Linked DNA regions of Lepisosteus oculatus. The protein of the gene in region 1 purifies or fractionates together with the protein of each later gene. This does not show direct contact. Links are inferred from orthologs where the notes say so. Each region holds a gene or a part of one and is shown in the gene's direction. Other genes may lie near its edges.

Region 1 (8,124 bases):
TGGCAGCCGGCTTGTTCAGGGGCGCGTCGCGTTGTGGTGTCGTCATCAGAGGCGACGGAGCGAGTGTTAGAAGCGGGTCGCTGATTGGTGGATGGACATGGCACTATTGCGCGATCTCATTGGGCCAAAAGTATTGCAGTGTAATTTCCTGCGACCCGGCACTTGTCTTCTTATTAACTCTTTCTAGGTCTAGGTCAGATTCGAGGGGTTGAAGTATAGGGGTCGGATCGCTTGAAATAAATTTTCTCTGCTGCCAGATTTGCATACACTGCCATTCAGTGTCCACGGCTCGCTGTGGACGTCCCTATTAAATTACGTTTGCCTCTATGTTCCCAAAAAGAAACGTGATTTTTTTTAATGCAACGTGTTTGGATGTTGGCCTTCAAGGGTTAATTAATGAGTATCAGGTCAAAAATATATCTATACTGTCTAGGCTACAGACCAGGTAGTAAATCCAGTCTATTATCTCAGGTGCTGTAGTTGCGCGGATAAGTTTCTGTGCGTCTTTTTCCGTTTGTAAAGAAAAAGAAAGGATTATTGGCACTTATTGTTCACGCAAAGCCCGCAATACTAATAATTTATCTTCGACAGCCGGTTGGAGAGGTATTTTACAGTGATTGTTTTTGAAAAGTTCGACTGTTTGACCTTGTCGACGTTAATGCTGCAGTGTGGAAAAAGCTATTATTAATCGGGTCATGACAAACAACGGGTACTTCTTGTACTTTGCTTACGGGAGTAATTTGCTGAAAGAAAGACTGCATCTAAAAAACCCGTCTGCAGTATTTCTCTGCAAGGGCAGGTTAAAGGTAATTTCTCAAAAGTTGCACTTTCCCTGTTCTGTTGTAAATTGTTGTTTAATTGTTGCATCGTGTAAAAAAAAAAATAAAGTCCGTTTCCGCCAGGCAGTAAAAAAAAACCGCGCTATGATATCTCGCAATTGCGACATTGTATCTCAGAATTACGACTTCATATTTCGCAATTGCGACTTTATATCTCACAATTGCGATTTAAAATCTCAGAATTACGACTTCATATCTCGCAATTACGACTTAAAATCTCAGAATTACGACTTCATGTCTCGCAATTGCGTCTTCTTTATCTCAGAATTACGACTTTTTGTCTCACATTTGCGACTTCGAAATGCCCACATTTCATTCTCTGTCCCTTTGTTGTTGTAACGGATTCGGGTTCTAGGGCTTGTGCCCTCGCCGCTCCCACCCTAGTTCGTGCCTCCCTGCATGGGCTCGAACCCGGGTCCTGCCAGTTGAGCTAAAGACCTTCTGTAGCCCCGCCGGCATCTTGTTCGTGTTTAAATCTAGAAAGTGTCAATTTAACAGGATAAAATCTATGAACGATCTTAAATGAAATTGCTTTAACTTTATTTGTAAGACAGCATCTATCAACAATTATCCAAACCAATTTCCAGTTTCTATTGCTAAACATAGCATTCCAAAAGGAGACACAAGAAAAGTATAACGCCACAGTGGGCTTATTGTGCCAGATGAGCAACCTACTGTACGTTCATTGCTGGCGCCAGAAGTGATGTCAAAATTGTCACATGAAGGTGCAATTGTGAGATATAAAGTCGTAAATACGAGAAATGAAGTCGGAATTACGAGATTTCAAATCGTAATTCTGACATTTTAAGTCGCAATTGTGAGATATAAAGTCGTAAATACGAGAAATGGAGTCGAATTGACGAGATTTTAAGTCATAATTCTAACATTTTAAGTCGCAATTGCGAGAAATAAAGTAAACGGGCTTCCATATTTTTATTGTATAACTATTGTAGCCAAAAACAAAATCGGTGTAGAAGAGCAAGTGGTACAGACACCTTTCCAGTATTATTTACATTTCCCTTTTTACTAAATATTTGACTGTGTGTCTGAAAATCAAAGTCCTGGTCCAGGTGTTTCACGGCGGGTGCAGGCATCATTGCGAAGCTCCCGCTATGTGGTTGCTCCCGTGGAAACGCTTGCACTGACTTCCTCTTGTACTAATGGAGATTCCTTTGATCTAGAACTACGCGTTAAAGTTTGGACTGAAGAAAGAGGCTGAAAACAATAGGTGGCACGGAGGCCTGGCGACTATTCAAGAAAGCCGAGGCGATGAAGTCTGGGGAGCTGTGTGGAAAATCGGGACTATCCATCTCCATAGTTTAGATGAGTACGTGTTTTTTTTGTACCCCTAAAATACAGTAAACGCTATCACAAACCGAATGTCTTCAAGAAAAATATGTAGTCAATAATTATTAAAAACACATTCCTAGTGGAGATTGTCTATTAACTCTGCCTGATAAGAGCACCCTACTTCGTGTTAGCCACATTGTTAATAAGAAAGTTTGAGAGATAACATATTGTTACTGTCAGTCACTACTTTATATTTTCAGCTTTGTTTATTATTTAGCTCTGTGTTCTCTACAGTTTCTTTCAGCCTTGAAGCCTTTTATGCATTCTCAGGTGCAAATGTGGCAGGACTTGTTTCTGTGGCACAGCAGAGTGTAATTCATTTGAATAATTTTGCATTACTTACAGGCAACAAGTCACTTGTGTTTTGCTAGTTTTTAGTCCTCATGGCATGATGTCAAGGTCAATATTCTCTGCAGAAAACCAAGAGTTTAAATTTCTTTAATAACCTCTTTTCCTAAAAGTGAGAGGACTTTAGCTACAGTAGATTCGGTGCAGTTCTGTTGAATGTGACAAACGCAACTGCTGTCAATCTCTTTCGAGTACCTGCCAAATGCGTGCACTTTGCAGGATAGGAATTCGAGTACAGCTTTACACGGTGCCATTATGCCATGCGTGTGTCTGTTCTGGAGGCAGGAGCTGGTCAGTCTGCAGGTGTACAGCCCTGTTGAGGTGAAGGTGGAAGCAGAAGGAGGAGAGCTGCTTTGTCGCTCCTACCAGATGAATGACTTTGAGATCTGCCTTACCTCACCGCAGTACAAGCAGGTAAGAGACCACACTAGTAACCAATCTAAAGGAGGTTTTCAGGATGGATCTTTTTCTTCTGACTCCATTGGATGCACCAAAGAAAAATAAATACATTATTTAAAATCTGTTTCAATAAAGACATATGTTGTTTGTGTTATAAATAAATAGTGTTACTGTATGTTTATACTAAGGCCTTGTATCTGGAAAAATCCAATATAATTGCAACTGCAAGAACTTGTTTTATTTTTTATCATCCAAATGAAAACATTACACTCAGTTTGCTTCGCATGCTAATAATGTTTTTTTTTAATCTGAAGTCATATAACAAGCTGACAATCTTTTTTTAATTTATTGAACTGTGGAAACTCCACATAGAGCATAGTCTACTTCTGTGATTTAAGAGTTTAAGTGAGTTGGAGTTCATTAGAAATTTTGGATTGGAAGAAGTCTACACGGAGAGTTACTCAGGACAGTTAGATTCTGCACATTCCTGGCTAACGGCTAATCAGGCCCCCCATAGCAATGACCATTTTGCCAATGAGCCAAATTAAATCTTGGGATGCAGAATTTGCGATGACGCTGGGAATCAGTGTTTAACAGTCTGACCCTGTTTTGCCTCACCCACTCACTCCTGTTTTTCGGAAGGTTGTGTGCTCAGGAGCGAGACAGAGCGGCCTGCCTGACGACTACATCAACATGCTGGACTCCGTGGAGACCAATACGTACGACGGGGCCACGGTGCTGGATGACATCAGGGAATCACTGAAATAGTTTGTGTCGCTCATCACCATGGCTCAGTGCTCTGACCTGGAGGTTCTGGGCACTTGCTGTGCGCTCACTCCTTCGAGATGCACCGTCAATGTACACTTCTGGGCTCCCACTTTATTACCAACAGAAAACCCGGGACCTCCTGTATACTGAACACCAGAGCCAACTTGTCATCATGGACTCGTCTTAAAAAGATGCTGGTGAAATGAACCAGCCATGGGAACTGCAGCTGTCCAGTCACTTTCGGCACCTAGTGAAGACGCATCTCTGTAGACGTCACCTGTGACCTCTCACCCCCATACTGTACTTCAGCAGCACTTACTCTGTGTTCCACCAATGCTTTTAATTCTTAAACTGGTAATATAGCGTGCTGATTGCACTAAGTACAAACAATGTGTACTTAAATGCAAGCCCCTTTGCATTACTGTTTTTGCTATAGTGCATGTATATTATTTTAGTTTTTACTGTTATTTTCTTAAGTGAACCTCTTGTCCCTTAATTGTACCTATTGCACAATTGTTCCTTGTCTTAAAATTGCAGGGTTGCATAGTTGGCTACTGCAGACTACAGTGCAGTACTGCCTACAATATACCTGTGACACAATTTCCCTGTAGAAATGTCACACTCTTTTAATAATTCAGTTAAAAATTGCTAGATCAGTTGGAGAACTGAGAGATTGTTTCACCTTTTAAAATTTAATAAAATGGCAAAAGCAGAAATTTTGTTCGATGTTCAGTTTCTCTTTTTCTCTGTTTTTTACTAGTTGTAAAAACTAGTAGTTGTAGGAACTAGTTTTTCCCCTCGGAAGAGCCTGGTCGACAACTTCCATTCACTTGACATCTTCCGGTTTTTATGTTTAAGATTCTGTTTATTTCAGATTCCTGTAAATAGCTTCTTGCCTGGCTATCAAATCCACCTACAGGTCAGGTTGTATTCGCTTAGTCTCCATTTAACTTTGTGCACATATTTCTCGAAAATTAATTAATAAAAATGAACACAATCTGGTGGGAATAATAAACATTGATAAATAATAACTTAATAACCATCAGATTAAAAAAAAAACTTGTATTGTTCTGAAAAAGTGCATTTGTTACATGAAAACCAAGAACATTCTACAAGAATGGTTTATATAAATACAATTGTAATGTGGATACACATAGTATTCTACTTTTTAATCTGTTTTCATTCTTGTCGCTCGGTGGGATGCAGTAAGATAAGTATCGGCGACAATCTCATTCTGCAGTTGACGAGATGTATCGTTTTCAGGGACCTACTGAACAACCTCAGAAAGAGGAGAAAATCAGCTTTGTCTCCCATCTAGCGGAGACCAAGCGAAATCGCAATTAGTTACTAACCCCGAGGTTTGTCTCACCCGTGGAAAGGAAATAATTCTTTTTTTCACATACTGTACAGCGTGTTTTAGCTTTAATCTCAGTACTACCTGACATATTTAAGGAGCTGGTTTATATTTTTTCTATAAACTATCTCCCCAGATTGTTTTTATTTCCTAATCCCAAATATCTCCTGCTAATTGTAAAAACTCCCTGCGGCGCACAGCTCCAGTAGCAGTAACGGCACAATTTAAGGACCTTCGTATTTCACTTTCGCTTGCTTGTTAGGAACGTGTACCAGGCTGTAGTGTTGTTCTTGGGGCGGTGGCGGACGACTTTCCCTAAAATACTAAATACGCCACATCGCCATTTCCTTGTCCGGACGAATGCAGATTTGGAGACAGCCAAAGAGCGAGTCGCCGAAGTCACGTATGTAACGCAGAAAGGGTCAAAGAAGCGTTAAAGTCTCGGTTACTACTGTTTCTGCCGGCCTGGCGAATTAAGGCGGGGGCCGGAGTAATGTAGCTGGAGGTGTTCCTAAATTCTGCTGATAATCACAACTGGGTTTTCACTTCCTCACTTGAGTGAAGTTAGTTGTTATAGGTCCTTGTCTATGTGATAACCGGTAAGTGCCTATTTCTTACATTACTATTAAATATTCCATTATTATTGTGAGGGGGGGAAAAAGGCTTTGACTGTATGCATCAAAACACAACGCGACCAGCAGTTGCGTTTTCCATTCGCACTTGAACTGCGTGGTATTTCGTCCTGTCTCACTGGACGCAGTTCTGTGGTTAAAAGGGGTATCAGCAGAACGGGTGAAACTCATCGGAAATGTTTGAAGGACTAGTCTCTGTTTGGGCCCTGGAGTCCTTTAAGTCCAGGTCTTAAAACAAGGAAGAGTTTAGGCTAGTGATTTAACCATTGAGGACATCAAACTCATTTCACGCAGCAAAAACAATCTGTCAGTTACACCACGAGCGAGTGCTGCACCCTTTTATAATAATACCTCAGTGAAAATAATTTTCCGATTCTGACGCATGGTGCTGACATCCAGTTTTCCCCCTTAAGGTAGTCACTGTTCTCCACGTGTTGTTACAGCTGCCGTCGCCCGGTTTTAAAATCGCTGCCCCCCGAAACATGGTCTTTGACAAATGGGAACTCAGGACTGCTCTGCTGCAGAGAGGCCCGGTAACGGCGTGAATACCATTAGACTCCTCACAGTGCACCGGGAGACACTTGTCAGTCATATTAAGAACACGCAGTGCATCCTAGACAACCTGCTCAGCAGTGGCTTCTTCTGCACCGAAGATGCAGAGATTATATCGCGCTTCTCTACTAAAACCGACCAGGTAGGCTACTGCTTTCTTTCTAATCTCTAATGCCATCCGTAAATTTAAGGTACAAACCATGAAACGCATGACTTTGCATAACAGAACTAAGTTTCTATTCAAGCCAGTTAATGCATGCTTCAGATACCCCCTGTATTTTAAATGATGTTGCTCATTCAGGCCAGTTTGTCTGATTTTTATTTTATTTTATTGGGCATCTCCAGTAAAAATAAACCTGCCAGTATCTATACAGTAGAAAAAAAAAACATTCTGCTCTGGATTATGAGTGGAGAATGTATAGTTTTCAAACCCATGTGCTCGGAGAAAATGTTAAATTCAGCCTCAAAGATATGGCAGAAAATATATTTTTAATAACGAATTAGTCCAGATTTCTCAATGACTCTCACAAATACCTGTATTTAACTGTTAATTAAAACTCAATTCATGTCTTGCCAGGTTCGTAAAATTTTGGAATTGGTGCAGAGCAAAGGAGAAGAGGCGTCTCAGTACTTTGTGCATGTTCTGCATGAGGCCTATGATGCCTATATAGACCTAAGGCCTTGGTTTAAAGAGATTCAGTATCAACCCTCTGACTCTGTTAAGGAACTACCAGTGGTCAACACTGATCCAGGTAAATATTAGGGTAACTAATAAAGGAACACTTAATTAGATGTTGAGATTTTTGGTTTGTGTTTGCAATTGAATAATTTACAGTGCCTGCAAGAATCCTATGTCTAGTTTTCGAGCTGGCTGTAATACGGAGCACACTGGCTGTTTGTAGCTGCCCCTGCATCAGGACTAAGATTGATAATTGGCAACTGAAAACAGTTGAATTCTTTGATTGGGGAACCTTATAACTAAACAACAAAAGTTAAGGAAGTTAGTTTCCTTATCATTTCGAATGTGTGTTGAATACACATTTAAGGTGGTCGTGGTTTAATTAAAGGTGAAAATGAACTGTGGTGGTAGAAGTAACTAGACATACATGTTCAGTGAGCGGGAGCAGGTTGGACAGCAGTATTTGATATCTAAGGTGTGGAAGTTAAAGATACTGGTTTCCCTCTCTTTAGGATTAACGCTCTTTTCTTACTGGCTCAAGGGCAACTTTCTAGCACTAGGTCTGTCTCTGTCTGGACCTGGGTTGAGAAAAATATTTTTTTGTCTCGGCTAAGATTCCTTCCCATTTCTTTTACCAAGTTCCAGCAATGTCCAGCTTGTAGATACCTGCTTCAACACCTAGAAGTAGAGTTTTCAGTTCACGTTTATGTTTGGATTGATGGAGTTTAAGTTTTTTTGGTTAATTTCTTTAGTAAGCAAGTACTGCAAGAAGCTTCGCCATGAGCTGGAACAGGACACCAAGTTCATCACCTCCTACGCACAGAAAGAGGAGACGCTGCTGGATGAGATGTACACGGACACCGTGATGGAGCTGCTGAACGAGCGCAATGAGAACTTGGGTCACCTGGACGGCCTAGAACAGCTGTTCAGTGACTGGGGGGTCTTCAACCAGCTTGCAGAGACCATCTTGGTCCTGGGAGATGCTGGTGTAGGGAAGTCCATCCTGCTGCAGAAGCTGCAGAACTTGTGGTCCACGAGGCAGCTGAACATCCAGGCGAAATTCTTCTTTAAGTTCCGGTGCAGGATGTTCAGCGCCTTCAAGGAGACCGATGAGATTTCCTTGAAGGACCTCCTCTTCAAGTACAACTGCTACCCGGACCAGGATCCGGACGAGGAGGTTTTCCGGTACGTCCTGCTGCATCC
Region 2 (7,771 bases), on another chromosome or scaffold:
GCACAAAATCACAGATACAGAGTGCAACCTTTTATCCTTCCTGGGCCGCTGAGGGATGAGAATGTGAGAGACTCAAGTTCATGCTCAAGATTCCCCTTTTAAAATCAGACTTTCTATATCTGGCTAGCTGCTAATCTATTCTATAATAGTTTTATGGAGAGTTATTGTTGTTATTATTGTTATTGTCGATAGTGATTGCAGTAGTACCAGATGTACTGTAATTCAGTTAAGATCAAAGCAGAAGCAGTACAGAAATATTCAATTGAAAATGATACTTTCCCAAGAAAGCTTCAAGTGCTATTCGCACCTTGAGAAACCACAGTCAGTATACTTCTGAATACACTTCTGTATCTTGTTGAAAAGTGCTCTGTTCAATGAAATTCTCAAGAATGTTGCTCTGACCTAGGGGATGACCTTGAAACACAAGGCAAAAGGCTTGGGCAAATGGATGGGTTATTAGCCAAAGGAAACTTTAAGGTAAAAGAAGTTTCATTATAATTTCATGTTTAAATTAATCAGTTTTTCAAAAATAGTACAAACCTTTATTCCATACTCTGGTTCAGAAGGCTACAGAAAGGAGCCTTGTTATTTTTGCATTAACAGGCAGTCTGTAGTGCTTTTAAAGGCTTTGTTTCTGATTATATTAGCATGATGCAGTTACAGATAGTGCAATTAAGCTTCAAGTGATGATGAAGCAGTTAATGTGGCTTAAACTAATTCTATTAGAATGTTTCATAACTATTGGACAATCATTCTGGACAAAATAAAGCAAATGTACAAGAAAAAGAACAAAGTGGACTGATTACAAAAATAGTGTTTTGAAAACAAAATGTAACTGCAACCATTGTAAATGTGTTTCTTTAAACAAACAAAGACCCGAACATCAGCCTCTTGGTATTCTGGTGAGTACAGCAAAGCTCTGGTAGAGGGATGTTGTACATATGTACAGTGAGCCACCTCAGAAAAATTCAGCCAACAAGTGTTTGTGCTGTGCCCTGGAAAAGAAAAATACAGCTCAGAGCAAACTAGTTTAAACATATAAATAGTAAAAATGAAAAATGATTTTTTCAAGGGTAGCAACATAAATTACTAAAGAAAAAATGAATCTTGTTACATTCCATGCAATGTTCTTCCTTATTTTTCCTAATATTTAATTACTAACACTCATGTACTGCCACTGTAACAAAACTGTTACAAAACATAAATAGATCTGATACAGGCTGATTAAATGAAATGTGGCGTCTACTCTCTTTCCTGACAGTCTGTTTCATGTAGCTGCAATCGTATTGGTAACCTCAGTATAAACCTCTGTAACTCTGTGAAAAATAATGAAATCCCTTAGCTTCCTCACAGGAGTGAAAAAGCACCTCACAGTTTTAGCTTTCTTGTCATTGAAATTATTCATAAATTTTGAAAAAATTAAGATTTAGAAAAGAAACCAGCATTCAACGCTATTCAAATTCAGTTTAAAGCTTTCGGGAAACACCTACACAGAACCTATCAACATAATATCACCATAGTTTGCTGTGTGAAGAACTATTATGAATGTTGTTGACCCATCTAAAGAACTGATAAAAGAACACTGTGGGAGCAACGAAATTTGTCACGCACACAAGTGGAACTATAACATATATTTATATATTTTAGTGTATAATACAAAGCCTACCACAGGGTGGGGCCATTGAACAGAGTCCAGCTTCTCTGTTCCTCTCATCTGAAGGCTCCATTGTATAAGGAATTTCCAGTTTAAAGAATGTAACCTTTATAGTTTCTACAGAAAATTACATACAGTATTACATATATTTAAAATTCAATTCAGTGAGGAATTGTCCCTAGTGGGTCCCATCATTCAAATAATACAGTATCATTTTAAACAGAAAACAGAAGTGACAAAACCAACAGAACAAAACCAACCTTGCTGTACCCACAACAAACATTTTATTTTTTATTAACTTTTTCTATCTATCCATCCATTTTCTTCATCCATTTCAGGGTCATGGGGGAGCCAAAACCTATCCCAGCAAGCAATGGTTGCACAAAGACACAAACACAGACAAATACACATGTGGACCAGGGCCAATTTTTCCCAGAAACCAATTAACTTATTAGTATGTGTTGTACTGTGGGAGGTAACAGAAACAGAGCACACGGAGGAAGCCCACACAATCACAGAGAGATCATACAAACTCCACACAGATAGCAGCTTAGATCTGGAATTGAATTTAGGGCCCCCAGTGCAGCGATGTTAACCACTGTGCCACTGTGCAGCCTCCTCCCCACTTAATAAAAATGGGGGGAAAAAAAGTGAAAAAACAAAGATTGTGATTGACAAAAAGGCAAAACCAAGGAGAGCAAGGGGTTGCCAGTCCTGGTCCTGAAGGGAGAATGTCTCTATGGGTTTATTAGGTCTTAAAGCAGCAGCACCTGGAGTTCTGGGAGTAGCTGTTATAACGGTCCAATTAAGCCACTAATAAGCTGATTCAGGTCATTCCAAGCACAACTGAACTGAAGACCTCTAGAAAACCAGCCCCCCAGGACCAGGATTGGGAACCCCAGCATGAGAGGCTTTATCAGGCCAACAGTCATAAAGCCCAGGAACGGAGAGAACCAATTTCTGTCTGGACCTGGACTCCTCGGAAGACACACCGGTGTTGGCATCGGTCACACCTCACCAAAGAAACACTTCGGGATCAAAGTATACAACACTGGTAACTTCTGCCATGCCTTCTGGTATTTGGTTCTCCCTGAACTCTTAGTGATTTGATTGTAATAAACTCCCCACTTAATTGGGCTATACAATCAATATATATACTTCTACTGTTACCATGTCTTTATTCATTGAGGATTATGATTCACATTTTAGCTTATTTATTTTTCATTCCACCCCTCAACCCCATACTGTGGTTTGCATTGTTATAGTTTTCTAACATTTGTAATGTTTGTGTTCAAAAAGAAATTGTCCATTCATATTGCTTTAGCAATTTCTGTCATTCCTTTGAAATCCACTCTTTGAATTAAATTGAAAAATCATGTAATCCACTGTATAAATCCTGGTGGTCTGATATTTCCTAGAACCAGGAATGAGGATCACTCCTTGTAGAAATCTGTACCTTGTGGAAGTTTGAACAAGTATGTTCCACGCTGTTAAAGCCCCTGACATTTTTCAAGAATAGACTGGATGTGATTTGGGTTAAATAGCTTCTAGCAGCTAAATAAATTGTGGTCTTGTTTCTAATGTTTTTCTTACCATTTGTATCATTTGCATATACTGCACGCAACAGGTGAAAGGCAGGACATACACAGACTCAAAGCCATGCGTGCACAGGGAGAATATACAAACTCCACGCAGATAGTACCCCAGGTCTGCAACTTGCAAGTCAACCTAGGACCCGAGCGCTGTAGAACATTTTATCTTCTGTGCCATGAGTATTTATTAAATCAAGCACCTATTCAGAAAAAAAAACTGAACTAGTCTACAAGGACCATTTCATAAAATTAAAAATGTATTAGCGATGTTCGAGCGTTGTTTCGGTGATTCTATCATATCCAAATTTAACCATACAGTGTATGGCATAAACATATTCAGAACGGATAGTGCAATGGGTGTACGATAAATGTGTGCTCGGGGTATATGTATAAATCACACACGCAGACGATCTAGTGAATGGAAATCCCTCTCGTGGCAGCATTTAAATATACTAATTATACACTCTAACGTCAGTAAAGTCGAAAGTTGGAATTTCCCAAATATCATACGTAATGTTGTGCAATATGTCAGCCCGTTTAAAGAAAAAAAAAACAAGTTCCATCTCCCGTTTTACAACCTCAGGGTTTGTATATCTGCAGTTCAAGAAAACGATTTTATAAAAAAGGCACTTAAATAATTATTTTTTTAAGTTCCATCAATATACTGTACGTAATAAAGCAGGCCTACACCAAAAACCACTGTATCCTATTACCCAGCTCTAAGAGCTGTTTTGCATCACAACACGCTGGCATCGTAACACCGGAACAAGCTGTCTGAACTCTCGGTCACAAGACAGGGCTGCCGTGAGATCCTGCAAATGAGCGGGTGCTGTAATGTGCTGGCGGTCTGCTTCATGTGAAGGATGTAAAATTATGCTGAATAAAATGTGCCGATTGTAAATTAACGGTCTAGTTATAAAACCCTTATAGAATAAAATAATCTAGTGCCGTCTCTTCTAAGTGACAAAATGTACTGTACGGCTGTTCGTGAGATTTGGAAACTACTGTACGAGTTTGACCTAAGTGGGATGACAGTCTCGCTGTAATGAAACCACTTCGATATTGTAAAAATGAGCATATAAATTAACTCTTCTCACATGACACATACTGGAAACAAGATGAGAGGAGAAGACACGCACCATATAAAATCAAGCGTTGAAACTGTCGTGTCAGGAAAGTCGGTTATGATGATATAGCGCCTGCAAACCAAAACCCTCTTTAGTGCTGTTTATCCTTTTTGCCGAAATAGCAACAGTGCGTTTCATGGCATGTGCTGAAACTCGGTAAAATGAGATAAAATTCTGCTTTTCAGTGGGCATAAGTCGAGAATCTGAATATATCGACGCAAGGTATTGCGTGATGGTTTCTCGATTGTACGGTAATTTTTACATTGTCAAACCCGGAAGATACTTGCTTAGGAAATAACCTGTAGGACAACTATGCAGCCTTAAGCTGTATAATACATTCGTCCAAGCAGCTGGGAGGCATATTTTGTATGACGCGGTGTGTGTGGTTTAGAAATACACATCGCGAAGGCGCAAAAACGCAATAAATCGGTTAACATCGTTCGCCGCAGAAAACATAGGGGTAAAATAAATATAAAACACCACAACCCCCCGACCATGTCTGCCGATTTCATTACTTTTTCCGCTGAAGATACGACCACTTCGGGATTTGCACCTCACACCTGATTGCCTTGACGGTAATAAGAAGACCTGGCGGAAATGGGGAAAATATTCTGTTTCTGCGACGTCTGCTTATTTTAATTTGGTTTTTATTCATCACTGTATTAATTAGTGGAGTTGGACTGATTTTTTCTTGGTAGTTTACTATAACTAAAACGTATTAGTATTTTTGTCTGAGGTTACGATTTCATACTCGGCTTTGTACTGTAGTTTTCAATTCCGCTTCTCCTTACTGGATTGCCCTCCCTTTTTTGAGGCCTTTGCATTTAAATATTATTATTACTACCATGGAGCATTCGGGCTGCGTTAATATTTGCAGCCTGACCAGCACTTTGCCGGTCATCCCCTATCAGAAACTGACGGACTTGCATTACTTGAGCCGAGGCGGCTTCGGCACCGTGTTTAGAGCCCAGCACTCTGACTGGAGAACCACCGTGGCCATCAAGTGCCTCCAGCTGGACTCCCCGGTTGGAGAAAGGTGGGTTAACCGAGTCGTGAGCTTGGGGAAAACAACACGAACTATGTAAGCAGAAAAACAAATGCTATATTAGGCTATTGAGATGGTTTCGACGGTATGGCTTTTGAAGTGGCCTTAATTTGACCAGTATGTTTTCGCCACTGTCGACTTAAAACATTTTTTTTCTTGCGAAGTTGATTCGTGTTTCTTATGTCTTTCTTGTCAATAGTTGTACCTATTTGACAGTCACTGCTTCTTGAGATTTTTTGTAATATTTCACATATTTTTTATTGATACGGAAACACAGTAATTCGTGTAAAAATTCTCTAAATGTTTGGAGGCTACAGTATGTGGTGAATAACGTTTCTAGCCCATCTAGACCTCCAGTTATCTAGCAGGCAGTGAGTTCAGATCTGATTTCTCAAAAAGGAGGAAAACACTACTGGTGCAGGATGCTCGGAGGTCCGTGGTCTAGGATAAGATTGGTGTAAAAGCGAGAAAACGTTTGTCTTCAGTTTAAAGACAGTGACTAGCAGACCAGTCACGCTGCGCACGTGCGTCCAGTTGTTGGCTGTCAGTTCGATCGACAAAGTTCTACTGTTGTCTGATAGTCATCAGAGTTAGTTGCCCGTTTAGGCAGCGAAAATTGGTTTAATCCATTTAAACTTTCATTTACAATTCATTCTGTGAATAGTAACAGTATTAAAGAAAGACATATTCTAAAGTAGCATTAATAGTTCTTTGAAATACAGTGCTGCTTGAAAGTATGTGAACCCTTCAACTTTCATACGTTTTACCCAAATTATCTTTAAAATGTTATATCTGAACTCCAATATTTAATGACAATACCCAAAATAATGGACACACATATATATATCGTTTCATTATCTATTAAATGTTTATTTAACAGAAACTAAGTGATTCCTGTGTGCAAAATTAATTCAATAAGCAGTGGCACATCCTTTAACAGCCTTTAACAGCTATGACAGTCACCAAATGTTTCCTATAGTTACTAATGCATCTGTTACATCTGCATCTGACTCCGCCATTTCAAAACAAAAGGTCTTCTTAATGTATTCTTTGGTAGATTTCCTGAAATGTTAGGGTTATTGTCATGTCATTGGACCCTTTTTTCAGCTCAACTTCAACTCATATCATATTATCAATATTTTGGTATGACTGACTTCATAGTTCCTTTAGTGATCGTGGGCCATCCTGGTTCATGGGCAGAAAAGCAGCCTAAAACCATGACACTCCTACCAGCACGGATAAGGTTTTTTTGGTGGTAAGTCTTTGCTAAACAAAGCATTTTTTGTTGCAGCCGAAAAGATTAATTTTAGACTCATCCATCTAGAGACCATTCTTTGAAAAATCTACAGGGTCATTCAGACGGTCTTTTCAAAGACACACAGCTATGTTCTTTTTTTGAGAGCAGAGGTTTTCTGTTGGCTTCCTTCCGATGAATGCCATTGCTATTCAGCTCATGTTGTATTGTTGAGGAATGAACATGGACATCATCCGCAGCAGGAGAGGTCTGGAGATCCTTGGATGTGTTCCTGGGGTGCTTTTCCTGTATGATGTATGATGTATGTCTTGTTACTCTGTGTGGTCAGTTTAAAGAACGTTCACATCTAGGTAGTGTTTACATCTAGGTGGAGTCACCATGGTTTTAAATGTCCTCCATTTGTAGATTATTAGTCTTACAGTTGACTGATGAAATTGCTATGGTTTTATAACCCTCTTGAGACTATTGAGCTCTAACAAAACTCTTACTGAAGTCGTATGAGGTCTCTTTAGATCATGTCATGGTGTATTTCACTAAGTTTAGTATAATACAAAATACCATGATCTAAAGAGACCTCATGGGTAGTGAGTATGGGTAAGACCAAATTTAATAGGTTTCTTACTTTTGTATAATAGAAGGCCTCCCAAACTTTGTCCTGGTGATTGACTTTTTGATTGTTTAAATTGGTACCTAATTATTTATTATTCTTACCTTGATAACTGAGCTAATGAACCTCCGCTTACTTTTGCACATGCAGTAATTCGTATCTACCTATTTTTTTTTCTATTACATGCATCAAGTAAGGACTAGTTTTGATTAAATGAGGATTTCATAGTAAAAATGTAACATTTAAAAAGTTGCACTAGGGGTTCACAAACTTTCAAGCAGCATTATATATTCATTAATTTATGTTATCAGTAATTGTCAGCAGGTTATTTGCATTTTATGAAGCCAGGTCAGTGCTACTTTGGATTTCGAATTTAAGATAAGTGGAATAGACAGTACCTTTAGCAATCTTCCTCAGTCTGTCACTGTCCCCATTGGAGAGTATCTCTCCACCGTACTCATTTTGCTTTCAACAAATTGAAGTTATTAATG

What was found. Proteins that work in one complex are often made in the same cells at the same time.
Region 2: the proteins of nod1 (region 1) and ripk2 purify together in Homo sapiens (affinity purification with western blotting; 4 studies listed by BioGRID and IntAct, with this or other methods). This does not show direct contact. The link is inferred for Lepisosteus oculatus from reciprocal best matches to the Homo sapiens genes NOD1 and RIPK2.

The regions. Positions count from the first base shown.
Region 1 is NC_090705.1:41,585,640-41,593,763, forward strand, and holds the start of nod1 (nucleotide-binding oligomerization domain-containing protein 1), read left to right. Parts: upstream 1-5,058; 5' UTR 5,059-5,461; exon of another isoform or gene 5,462-5,657; intron 5,658-6,133; 5' UTR 6,134-6,186; coding exon 6,187-6,384; intron 6,385-6,819; coding exon 6,820-6,994; intron 6,995-7,673; coding exon 7,674-8,124. Other genes in the region: gamma-glutamylcyclotransferase-like, read left to right, coding at 696-806, 2,021-2,166, 2,819-2,951, 3,579-3,704. UniProt on the Homo sapiens protein: Pattern recognition receptor (PRR) that detects bacterial peptidoglycan fragments and other danger signals and thus participates in both innate and adaptive immune responses.
Region 2 is NC_090701.1:25,469,260-25,477,030, reverse strand, and holds the start of ripk2 (receptor-interacting serine/threonine-protein kinase 2), read left to right. Parts: upstream 1-4,583; 5' UTR 4,584-5,218; coding exon 5,219-5,409; intron 5,410-7,771.